Drosophila melanogaster: one gene and its partner. The protein of the gene in region 2 interacts with the protein of the main gene of each other region in a pairwise test. Each region holds a gene or a part of one and is shown on either strand. Other genes may lie near its edges.

The links.
Region 1: the proteins of repo (region 2) and CG18262 interact in a two-hybrid assay, tested with the Drosophila melanogaster proteins (one large-scale study listed by BioGRID).

The regions. Positions count from the first base shown.
Region 1 is NC_004354.4:8,150,726-8,155,081, forward strand, and holds CG18262 (uncharacterized protein), read left to right. Parts: upstream 1-2,222; 5' UTR 2,223-2,318; coding exon 2,319-3,728; 3' UTR 3,729-3,808; downstream 3,809-4,356. Other genes in the region: Gbeta5 (G protein beta subunit 5), read right to left, coding at 342-1,418.
Region 2 is NT_033777.3:18,234,341-18,240,168, forward strand, and holds repo (reversed polarity), read left to right. Parts: upstream 1-1,851; 5' UTR 1,852-2,156; coding exon 2,157-3,079; intron 3,080-3,494; coding exon 3,495-4,410; 3' UTR 4,411-5,262; downstream 5,263-5,828. Other genes in the region: CG7156 (uncharacterized protein), read right to left, coding at 5,552-5,770.

The DNA of each region.
Region 1 (4,356 bases), on a different chromosome or scaffold from region 2:
AGTTTGTCTATAGCTCAACATTTATTTCGAACAGGAACTTATAACTAGTCGCATATTGGTTACACTTGGATGCATATACATGTATATATTTAGATTCAATTTGGTACAGCAGCTGGTAGTAAGCATAACACTGCGGTAACCAAGACATCCATGCTGGCAATCCCGACATGAGACATATGTACACACTTGGGGGATCACCGAATCCGTAACTTAACTATCCTAGAGATGCGATGCACAACACAAAAAAAAAAAAAAAAAACAAATCAGAAGAGAGGGAAAACAAAGCGAGACGGCATCTGTCCTGGACAAATGCATCCCCCAACAATAAGGTGCCACATGGCTTAGGCCCACACCCGTATGGTGTAGTCCCAACTGCCGGTGGATAGAGCGGTGCCATCGGGCGAGACCTGGACGCAGGACACCTTGTTCTCGTGCCCGTACAGCAGGCAGACCCTTTCCGATTTCAGCGTGTCCCACAAGTTGACGGTGTAATCGTTGTAGCCAGCAAACAGTAATCTTCCACTGACCGAAAAGTCCACCGAATTGACGCCAAAGATGATGCTCTCCTTGGCGAACACGGCCACCTCGCGATCCGCTCGCATATCGTACAGCCGGCAGCTGCTGTCATCCGATCCAGTGGCTATGGCATCTCCGCAAGGATGGAACTTAACGCTATTCACATCCGATTGATGACCCTCGAAGGACTGAACGACATGACCAGAGCGCATGTCCCAGATGAAGGCCATGCGATCGCAACTGCCCGAGACAAAGGTGTTGCCCGTTTCGTTGGGAGCCAAATCGATGGCCATTACATCGCCGGAATGTCCGTGGAAGCTTTGCAGTAGCTGGCCCGATTCCACGTCCCACAAAGCGCATGTGGAATCGCCACTGCCCGTGAGGATTTGCTGATCGGAATTCGGATAGATGCAGCACGACATGTAGCTGGTGTGGGTGCCCACTGTGCGCTTCTTGGCGGCCATCTCCTCATCGGAGGTTATCGGATACACGGTGACCTTATTGTCTAGTCCGCCGCAGGCCACAAAATTGCCCGACGGCGCGTAGGCACAGGCCATAATCCAGGTGGTGGGCATGGTGACGGCGTGCTCCTTGTTCGTGGTGAACGCATCCCAGATGATCAGACGTCCGTCCTGCGACGAGGAGATGATGTGACGCTTGTCGGGACTCCAGTCGGTGCACAGGACCTTCGCCTGGTGGCCCTTGAGCACCTTACGCGGCTTGATGTTCACATAGGCGATCTGCTCCAGCCGCTCTGCGATGTTCGACAGATTGACGTCGTTCAGCTTCTGGCGCTCCTCCTCCAGTTTGGTCTTCAAATTCTCCGCCTCTCGCACCAAACTGGCCATCTTTTCAGTGGCATTCGCGTTCGCATTGCTCGCTGGCACCGCCGCCTCCGACATGGTTGCTCTGAGATGGCGCTTCTATGGATATCTCTCGGGGATTGTGTGTCCTATCCCGTTCGAACTTCTCCAATTGGACAGCGAAAAATCAATCCGAAAAAAAGTGTATACTCGAATACGAAAATCCGAATACACAGCGATAGGCGCGGTCGGTTATCGATAAGTTTTACCGTTGGTAAATGGCAGAATGTACCGTTACATATCCTTTATTTTCGGAGAACTTGATAAAAGATTGTGACGATGTTATTATTATTAATTTTCATCAATATGACAAGGTATTGATGAAAATTGGCGTCAAAATTTGTTAAATTTTTGTTCTGTTTTTGTTAAAAGCCGGTTTTCCGAATTTCCCTCATAAAATAATCAGTTTTTTGCCCAGAACTTTGAAAATAATTGACCAAATATGGTATGTCATATCTCGTTGAACTCGTAATGAAATTTCCAATCGAATTGCATTCAAATTTGCGAATTCAAAATTTTTCCATTTTTTTGCAAATTTTAATTTAATGTTACCCCTTAAAAAACATGAAAAATATGACACAAAAATAAATTTTTCTATGCCCGCCCAAAAGTGATAGGGTTCGTTAGTAGTGATAATTGGCTGTTCAAAACAGTTATTCTTTAAGCTGCATGATGATTTTCCGCCAAGTTATGACTAGAAACTACTTGTGATAACGAACTTATCGGAGTAAATACCATTTCAAATGTGGCGCCACAACCAAGGTAAGCTCAACACTGCGGTTCGTTAGCCAACACTACCATCAGCTGGGGAAAACCACCCTTCCCCACCCCCTTGAAACAAACACTTACAAAAAAGCGACGCCAACGGCTGGAATCCTCTGCTAATCCGGAGCCAGTTGACCGCCACTTCCACACAGGCAGACCAGGGAGCAAGCCGCGATGATCAAGGTGCAGCCACCGCCGGATGTGGCCGGTGGCTACCACAATCTGCGTTGCGGCGAGGTCTTATTCAGTGCACCCGCCTCCTACGAAGTGAGCTGCTTGCTGTGCGACCAGCGTTTGCCGTTGGACGGCTACCCGGAACACTTCCGGCTGAAACACTTCACGAACAGCTCCAGCTCGCTGTGTTCCAACGAACTGGAAAGCGATCCCATTGCCCAGGACGTCGTCGAAGTACAGGGAAATGAGGAGCTACATGAGGAACTGGCAAAGGAAGCTAGCCCGGACTTAGAGGAGGAGGAGGAGGAGAAGGAGGAAGGTTCCAAACGCCAGCATTACCAGCGTGCAGCGGCCATGAAGAACACCCTGGTGGAGACTCGCGAGGATTTGCTGGACATCGAACTCGACTGGACGGGCGGCGAGCAGTCGGAGCATAATGAAACTCACGAGGAGGAGGAGGGGGAATCGGATGATGATGACACGAAGGACAGCAACGACACGAAGGACATGCTCTTCCAATGCGATCAGTGCGACCGGGCGTACAACACCAAACGCAGCCTGCAGAGCCATCGCCGCCTAAAGCACAGCGAAGCCAACGGCGGAAGTCTGGACAAATCCGCCAGTGAACGCAATAGCAAGAAGCGGAAAGGTCCGCCGAAGGTGTACAAATGCAACGAGGAAGCCTGCAACCAGACATTTCGCACCGAACGCGATCTGCGCGGCCATCGCTGGAAGCACACGGGAATCTTCTGCGACATTTGCGGCAAACCCTTCACCCAGTCGGGCAACATGATGCGCCACCGCCAGCGACACAGTGGCATCAAGCCGCACAAGTGTCCGGAATGCGACGCGACCTTTTACACGCAAAAGGAGCTCTCCTCGCACAGTATCTGCCATACTGGTCGCATGCCCTGCATCTGCGAGGTGTGCGGACGACCTTGCCGAGATCGAGGCGTTCTCACGGCGCATATGCGTCGCCATACGGGCGAAAGGCCGGCCAAATGCGAGGTGTGCGGCAAGGCATTCTATAGCTTTCATGACCTCAATGTCCATGCTGTATCGCATACCAATTTGCGGCCCTTCGTCTGCGACGTTTGCGGCTCCACGTTTCAACGGAAGAAGGCGCTGCGGGTGCACAAGCTGCTCCACTCTGAGCAGCGCAAGTACGCGTGCAAATTGTGCGGCAAGACGTTCGCCCAGTCCGGCGGTCTAAATGCCCACATGCGCAGCCATGATCCGGCGAGAGTTAAGGGAGCTGTGAAGCCGCTGCCGCAATCGGTCACCATCGAGGTGATCGAGGGCAAGAGTCCGCCCACCACCACCATCACCATGGCCATCGACCTCAATGTGGAGGAGCAGCTGGTAAAGCAAACCGAGACTGCACCCACCACTTGGCGCCTGGCCAACTGAGTAGCTAGCTAGGATTAATATAAGGTTAGATGTAGTTCATCTATAAGTTCCAAATTGCGCCATAATAAATGAGAGAAATCAGAAGATTGGAAATGAATTAATAATCGTAAGAAACCAGAAGGCAGATGCATAAAACGATTGATTTGCGGTACAAAAGTGTCCTTTATTGGGGTTTCCTAAACGGAGAGGGTTCCAAGCTGTCAGCGATCCAAGTCCAGATGAGTCTGGGCTCTAATCCTTGCCAGCGTGTGCATTCTACCCGGGATTCTTAGCTCTAAACATGTAGTTCGTATCGCTATGGACTAAGTTAAGTATTGGGATAAAATAATACATACAGCCTTTGTTGTTTTTTTTTTTTTTTTTCCAAACGAAATTGATGATCATAAACGGAGGCTTTTGCGTTAAAGGTTAAAAAAATATATTCCCGCCCCTTCGTTGTTTTCAAAAAAGGTACATATTTTATATTCTATGCGCTGGTCGGTTCACTCATTACTAGTTTTTCGAAGCGATAAACTGAAGAATTAAAACCTAGCATAATTCTAGATGCAATATTAAGTAAACTAGTTTAAAATAGGGCTGACATTTCTGCCAAATGGACGTACTCAGTTACAAATATAGTTAAAATCAA
Region 2 (5,828 bases):
TGAGGACAGAACTTTGCCATTGGATTGTGCAACTTTGTCTTAATTTAGACACCAAAATTGCTCGTTAACTTCCTTAACAACTAAGAAAAAGTTAATGTTTTTTGTTTGCTTTTGAAGAATTAATATTCATTTGACATCAGATACTTATTTTTTCTTGGTAAAAAAAAAAATAACGAAGCTATAAATTTTTCAACACCCAATATATTTCCAAATATTATCACCAAATTTGCACTTCAAATTGGATTGATGATGATTTGTCCATTGAATATGTTAGAAATATTTTCATATGGGTTTTTTAAGTAAATATCTAAATAAGTAACTCTTAAAGATCACCGATCCCAATGAATGTATAGCTCTACCCACTTTCACCCTCTTCGATTGCAATGCCCACATGATTCGGCAGCCTTCTTCCCACTTCCCATTCAAATGCTCCGTGAAATCTTCGGATCTGTCCAAATGAGCCATAACTTAGCCCCTGACTAAGTGCCCACCTCGGCGCGATCGAAGTACCAGCATCTGGCCAAAAGGTCACACGCAACAGCGGACTGGAGGAAAGGGGAGCATGCCAATCCTTGAGAGGGTGACACGCGCTGTGGGAAGATCGAGCGATCAGGGTGTGGAAACGGGCTGAAGTGGAAGAAGAAGGTCACAAGCGTGCCACCAAGTCGCTGCCTTACAGGGGTTGCAACCTCGAATGGAACCACCCTCATGAGTCCAATTGGAACCACGACCATCGGAATTCCTCGGCTAGAAGTTAATTGTTCGTCCAACATGTGTGACGATGAAGGTGCATTGTTACGGATAGCGATGACCATGAGGTGGACGCGAAATAGATGGGCTCTCTCAACTTTGGGCGAAATTAATCTGTATCAATGGATTGCCAACAAGAAGCCGCTAAATTGGGATTGTACATACATAAGTGCATATGGAAATATAGTGGATGTTAAAAACCCCCCTTTTTAGGTTTTATCTGTGATACGATCTTTAGAACGATTAGAAAGCAGCATAGTAATTTTCATCTCTTCGCCAAAATTGAATGCTTTAATATGGCTATAACTATTCCCACTAGTTTGATAAACGGTTCTGAAATCGAAAACATTTGAAAAGATAGTATAGTATATATACCAGACATAAACTTAATCCTTCAAATCGTTCAACATTCTTCTTATTTCGGCCCCCAATCTTATAGATACCTTATCTCCATATATCGAATCATAGATCATACCATAGATTATCTTCTGTACCATACATTATTATTAATAGGTATGCGATAGTTTGTAACTGCATGGTAACAGAACACAATCAGTTCATTTATATGATATCTCCTAATATGACTATGCTTTCATGATTCTATATCCTCATTATAAATAAAACATAATTCAATAGTAGGATAACAATAAGATCAGCGTGCCATTAGAGTCCTTAAATCCGCTCTAAGAACTGAGAGCCAGTAGAGATGCAAGTCCCGGTTCCCAGGACCCCATCATCCCGTCGTGCTCTTCCGTTCCCAGAACATCTCGATCTGCTGGTAGCCGTGTGCCCGCGAAGCTGAAGACCAAAAACTGGACCCAGGCAGCTAGACCCAGTCAAAAATAAAAAAACAGAAAAAAGAAGAAAAAATCGCAAAGTAGGGGAGACCACACCCCGCTGAATGGAAAATCGTCGAATCGCTGGGCAAGCGGAAAAGTCACACACGCCAGCATGAAACGCACAGAGCGGCGTTCGCATGCGCCGTCCCGCTCGCACGGCGATAGTGGCGGCCGATGGAGCGATGCGATTGGTCGCTGCCAGCGCTGCTGCTGCGCTGCCGCCTGCGCCGGTATAAAAGGACAATCATCGCCAGTAGCCGAGTCAATTAAGGCCAAAGACTCGAGCGGTGAGCGTGCGGCTCTACTCCCATATATACATATATATATATATATATATTCAACATCCTAACCGATAGAAAAGTAGCAACAGCAGCCCAGTTATGTGCTTGCCAAATGCAATTAACAACTGATTGATTTGGAAACTCAGCAGCGATAATCGAGTTGAAAATCAACCAAATAATACACTAAATGGATTGAAAGTGTCGCAGTGGCAAAAGTGTTGTTAGCTAGTTAGTGTGTCTTGTGTGCTGTTACTGTGCGTTCCAAGGATTAAAGTCGTGGAGGAGAATGGAACACGATAGCTTCGATGATCCCATTTTCGGGGAGTTCGGCGGCGGGCCACTCAATCCACTGGGCGCCAAGCCACTGATGCCCACCACAACGGCCATGCATCCCGTGATGCTGGGCAGTGTCCACGAGTTGTGCAGCCAACAGCAGCAGCAGCAGCAGCAGCAACGATTGCCCGACTGCAACACCATACTGCCGAATGGCGGAGGAGGAGGAGCAGGATCTGGCGGCGCTGGAGGATCGCCCAACTATGTGACCAAGCTGGATTTTGTCAACAAGATGGGCTGCTACTCGCCCAGCCAGAAGTACGAGTACATTAGTGCGCCGCAAAAACTGGTGGAGCAGCAGCAGCAGCAGCAGCATCATCATCAACATCATCAGCACTACACGGCCACGCCCCCGCCCAGCCACAATGGCATCCTGCTGCACAAGCAATCCTCCCAGCAGCAACAGCAGCAGCAGCAACAGCTGGTGGGCATCCTGGACTATCATCCGCTCAATGGCAAGCTGGACTACTCCTCGTCGCCCAAAGATCAGTACGAGCCGCAGCAGCTGCAGCATCTGTACGGCGGCAGTCCGCATCATCTGGACCATTTGGATCATGGCAGTGATGGCTTGCTCCAGGACTCCTCGCCCGTCATGATCAACGGAGGATCCGCTGGTGGCAAGCTAAAGAAGCCCGATGAGATGTGTTCGCAGTTGGAGGCGGGTGGTGCTGGAGTTACTCCGCCAAGTAGTTCCTCCACGGTGGTTAATGGCACCACCAATGGCACTGGCAACGCCAACTCCTCCTCCTCCGCTGGCGTCGGCATTCAGGGGGCGGCGGGCACAGCGGGGGGCGTGGCAGCTCCTGCAGCCAAAAAGGACGGAAGCAGCAGCAAGAAGAAGGGCGATCCCAATGGCATCAAGAAGAAGAAGACGAGGTAAGCGGTCGAAGCTGCTACGCTGTCAATTAATTTAACGACGGGAAATCAATGAAATTATGTGGCACAAGATGATAGCACTTGCTATTTATGACCGTGACCACGGGGCGTATGAGTAATTTGGAGTAAGGACATTGCTAGCAACTCGCACGGAAACCCGTGCAATCTGGGGGGCTAATTATTAAATAATGAGTACCGATAGCAGATAGATAGATCCACAGAACATGGTTATCTCTATAGAATTTTCTAATATTCTAAAATATAGTTTCAGTTTAGAACTTTTTTGTAATATAAATAGATACTATGGGTTTTTTCATTTTTCCCTTTTTTTAATCCCTATTATATGACCAACTAACTGTATGAATCCCATTCAGACTTTCATCTAATCCTCTATACTTTCCATTTTTACCTTCAGAACCACCTTTACTGCCTACCAGCTGGAGGAGTTGGAGCGTGCCTTTGAACGTGCTCCGTATCCGGATGTTTTCGCCCGCGAGGAGCTGGCCATCAAGCTGAATCTGAGCGAATCCCGTGTGCAGGTGTGGTTCCAGAACCGACGGGCCAAGTGGCGCAAGCACGAGCCACCGCGCAAGACGGGCTACATCAAGACGAGCACTCCGCCGACGGCGACACTGAATCCCGGAACCCTAGCCCCACCATTCACTAGCTACCCGCAGACGACGACGGTCACGCCGCCGGGCAGCATGGACAGCTGGACCAGCTACCAGACGCCCTACGAACTGACGCCCCAGTTCAGCCTGCTCTCGCCGGCGGCCAGTCCGTATGGCACCTATTCCGGCCAGTACGGTGCCTATGTGCACGAAAGCCAGCTCTTCCCGATGCGTCACTACGAGTACGGTAGTCCCACGCGCATGGAAATGGGCGCCACAACCGGTTCGGTGGCCGGAAACGGAGATGAGTCGGTGGCCAATGGCGGCAGCTATCAGACGGCGGAACTGCAGACCGCCCAGCAGCAGCAACTGGCCGACGGCACACTGGTCACCGTCCATGCCCACCAACAGCAGCAGCAGCAGCAGCAGCAACTCAATGGCAAGTACCTGAGCGCCGAGGAGGCCAAATACGTGCACCTGCAGTGCCATCAGAGTGGAGGTGGTCTGGAGCTAAGTCCCGGCGCCAGCTGTCATCTGGTGGAGGCGCAGGGCCAGCACTATGTGACCACGGCGACGGGAGGAGCTGCATCCGCGGGCGGCACCAGCAGCGATGACAACGACAGCGGCGGCATGCAGACTGTGATCAAGAGCGAGGAGGTCTCCCAACAGCAGCAGCAGCAGCAGGGACAGAGCTACGTCCTGCCGCCTTTTTTGCACTGAGAGAAATGCTCACACACCGGCGACAGCAACAACACCAGCGACGCTGGGCCACGCCCATCAGCACGCCGAACGCCCGTTTCCGTCGGCCATTTTGAAGGGATGGAGGCGTGGCGTGTGCAGCATTTCCAACTGTGTTTCTCCGACTGAAAGTGGGGCTCCAGAAAAGCGGATTCCCAAAGATAAAGCCTCATAAGTAGTAGAATTCATCATCGGATTACTTAAAACTAGTTGCTTTCAAAAAATTTGGCGAGAGTCCACAAATTTTATATTTAATTTGATAATATTGTTTTTTTAGTTTATATTTCCAATCCCTTGGAGTTTTTCTAGCCAGTCCCACACAGTTTCTAGCCACTGTTTTCATATTGCCATAGGTTCCTTTTAGGTTTAATGACGCAAGTTGCAACAACAACGGAATCCACAAGTCTTGCCAAATCATAATGAGGTTATTATGCCTGTCTAAGTCTAGGTTAATCTAGGGCTAGGGGCTCTGCAACGAGAGCCCCGCCCCCAGAATGCATTCCAAATGTGCCTTACCAAAACGGGTGACGAGTGACCTCCCTCCAAATTGGAAAGCTTCGTTGCCCAACAAACTTAGTTTTAGTTATTCTACTCGTAGACTAAGTTCCATTTGCTGTTTTTGCTGTAGTTAGACAATAAAGTGCTTTTTATATTGTATACTAGCTCATTTGGCTTTACAAATTTTATTACTTACTAATTTTGTAAAATGGCTTGCAAATTTTGTTACAACTACATTCAATTTAGTTTAATTTCTAATTGTAAGCAATTACATAAACTAGGACACTTTGCAAATGTATATAATAGACGTATAAATAAATCGTATTTTGTACCAATAATTGATCAGCTTCCAATTCAAAAAAGGAACAACATAAAAGACTCATAAAAACAAAACTGATGGTTAATACACTTGTTTTCGAAGACAAGTATTAAAAGTAATGCATAGAAAATAATATAGCAGATTCACAACATAATTAATCGCTATGGAGCGACTTCAGATTCTTTGAAAGTAATCAAAATCAATGCCAATCAGAACTGAGCAAGGAATCACAAATGGGATTTCAGGTACAGTACGAAATAAGAAAATACTTTACGGACTCAATAGCAAAGCAAATAGTGCCTATTTTCACATGGACTCAGTTCCCTGCTCCAAAACCGCCTGCCAATCGATGCCTTTGAAGAATGGATGAGCCTGCAATTGGTCGTAGTCCAAACGTAGCTCCGGAGAAAGCTGCAGCAGTTGCTCCAGCAGATCCTTGGCATGATCGGAAATCTCCAACGACTCACTAGGATACTGAACACAACCATAGAGGTCCAGTTGCCCGGGATGCGTGACTTTGTAGGGCTGGAAAGAAAGCAGATTGCTATTATCCAAACATTTTCAATCGAGAACTCAAAACTTA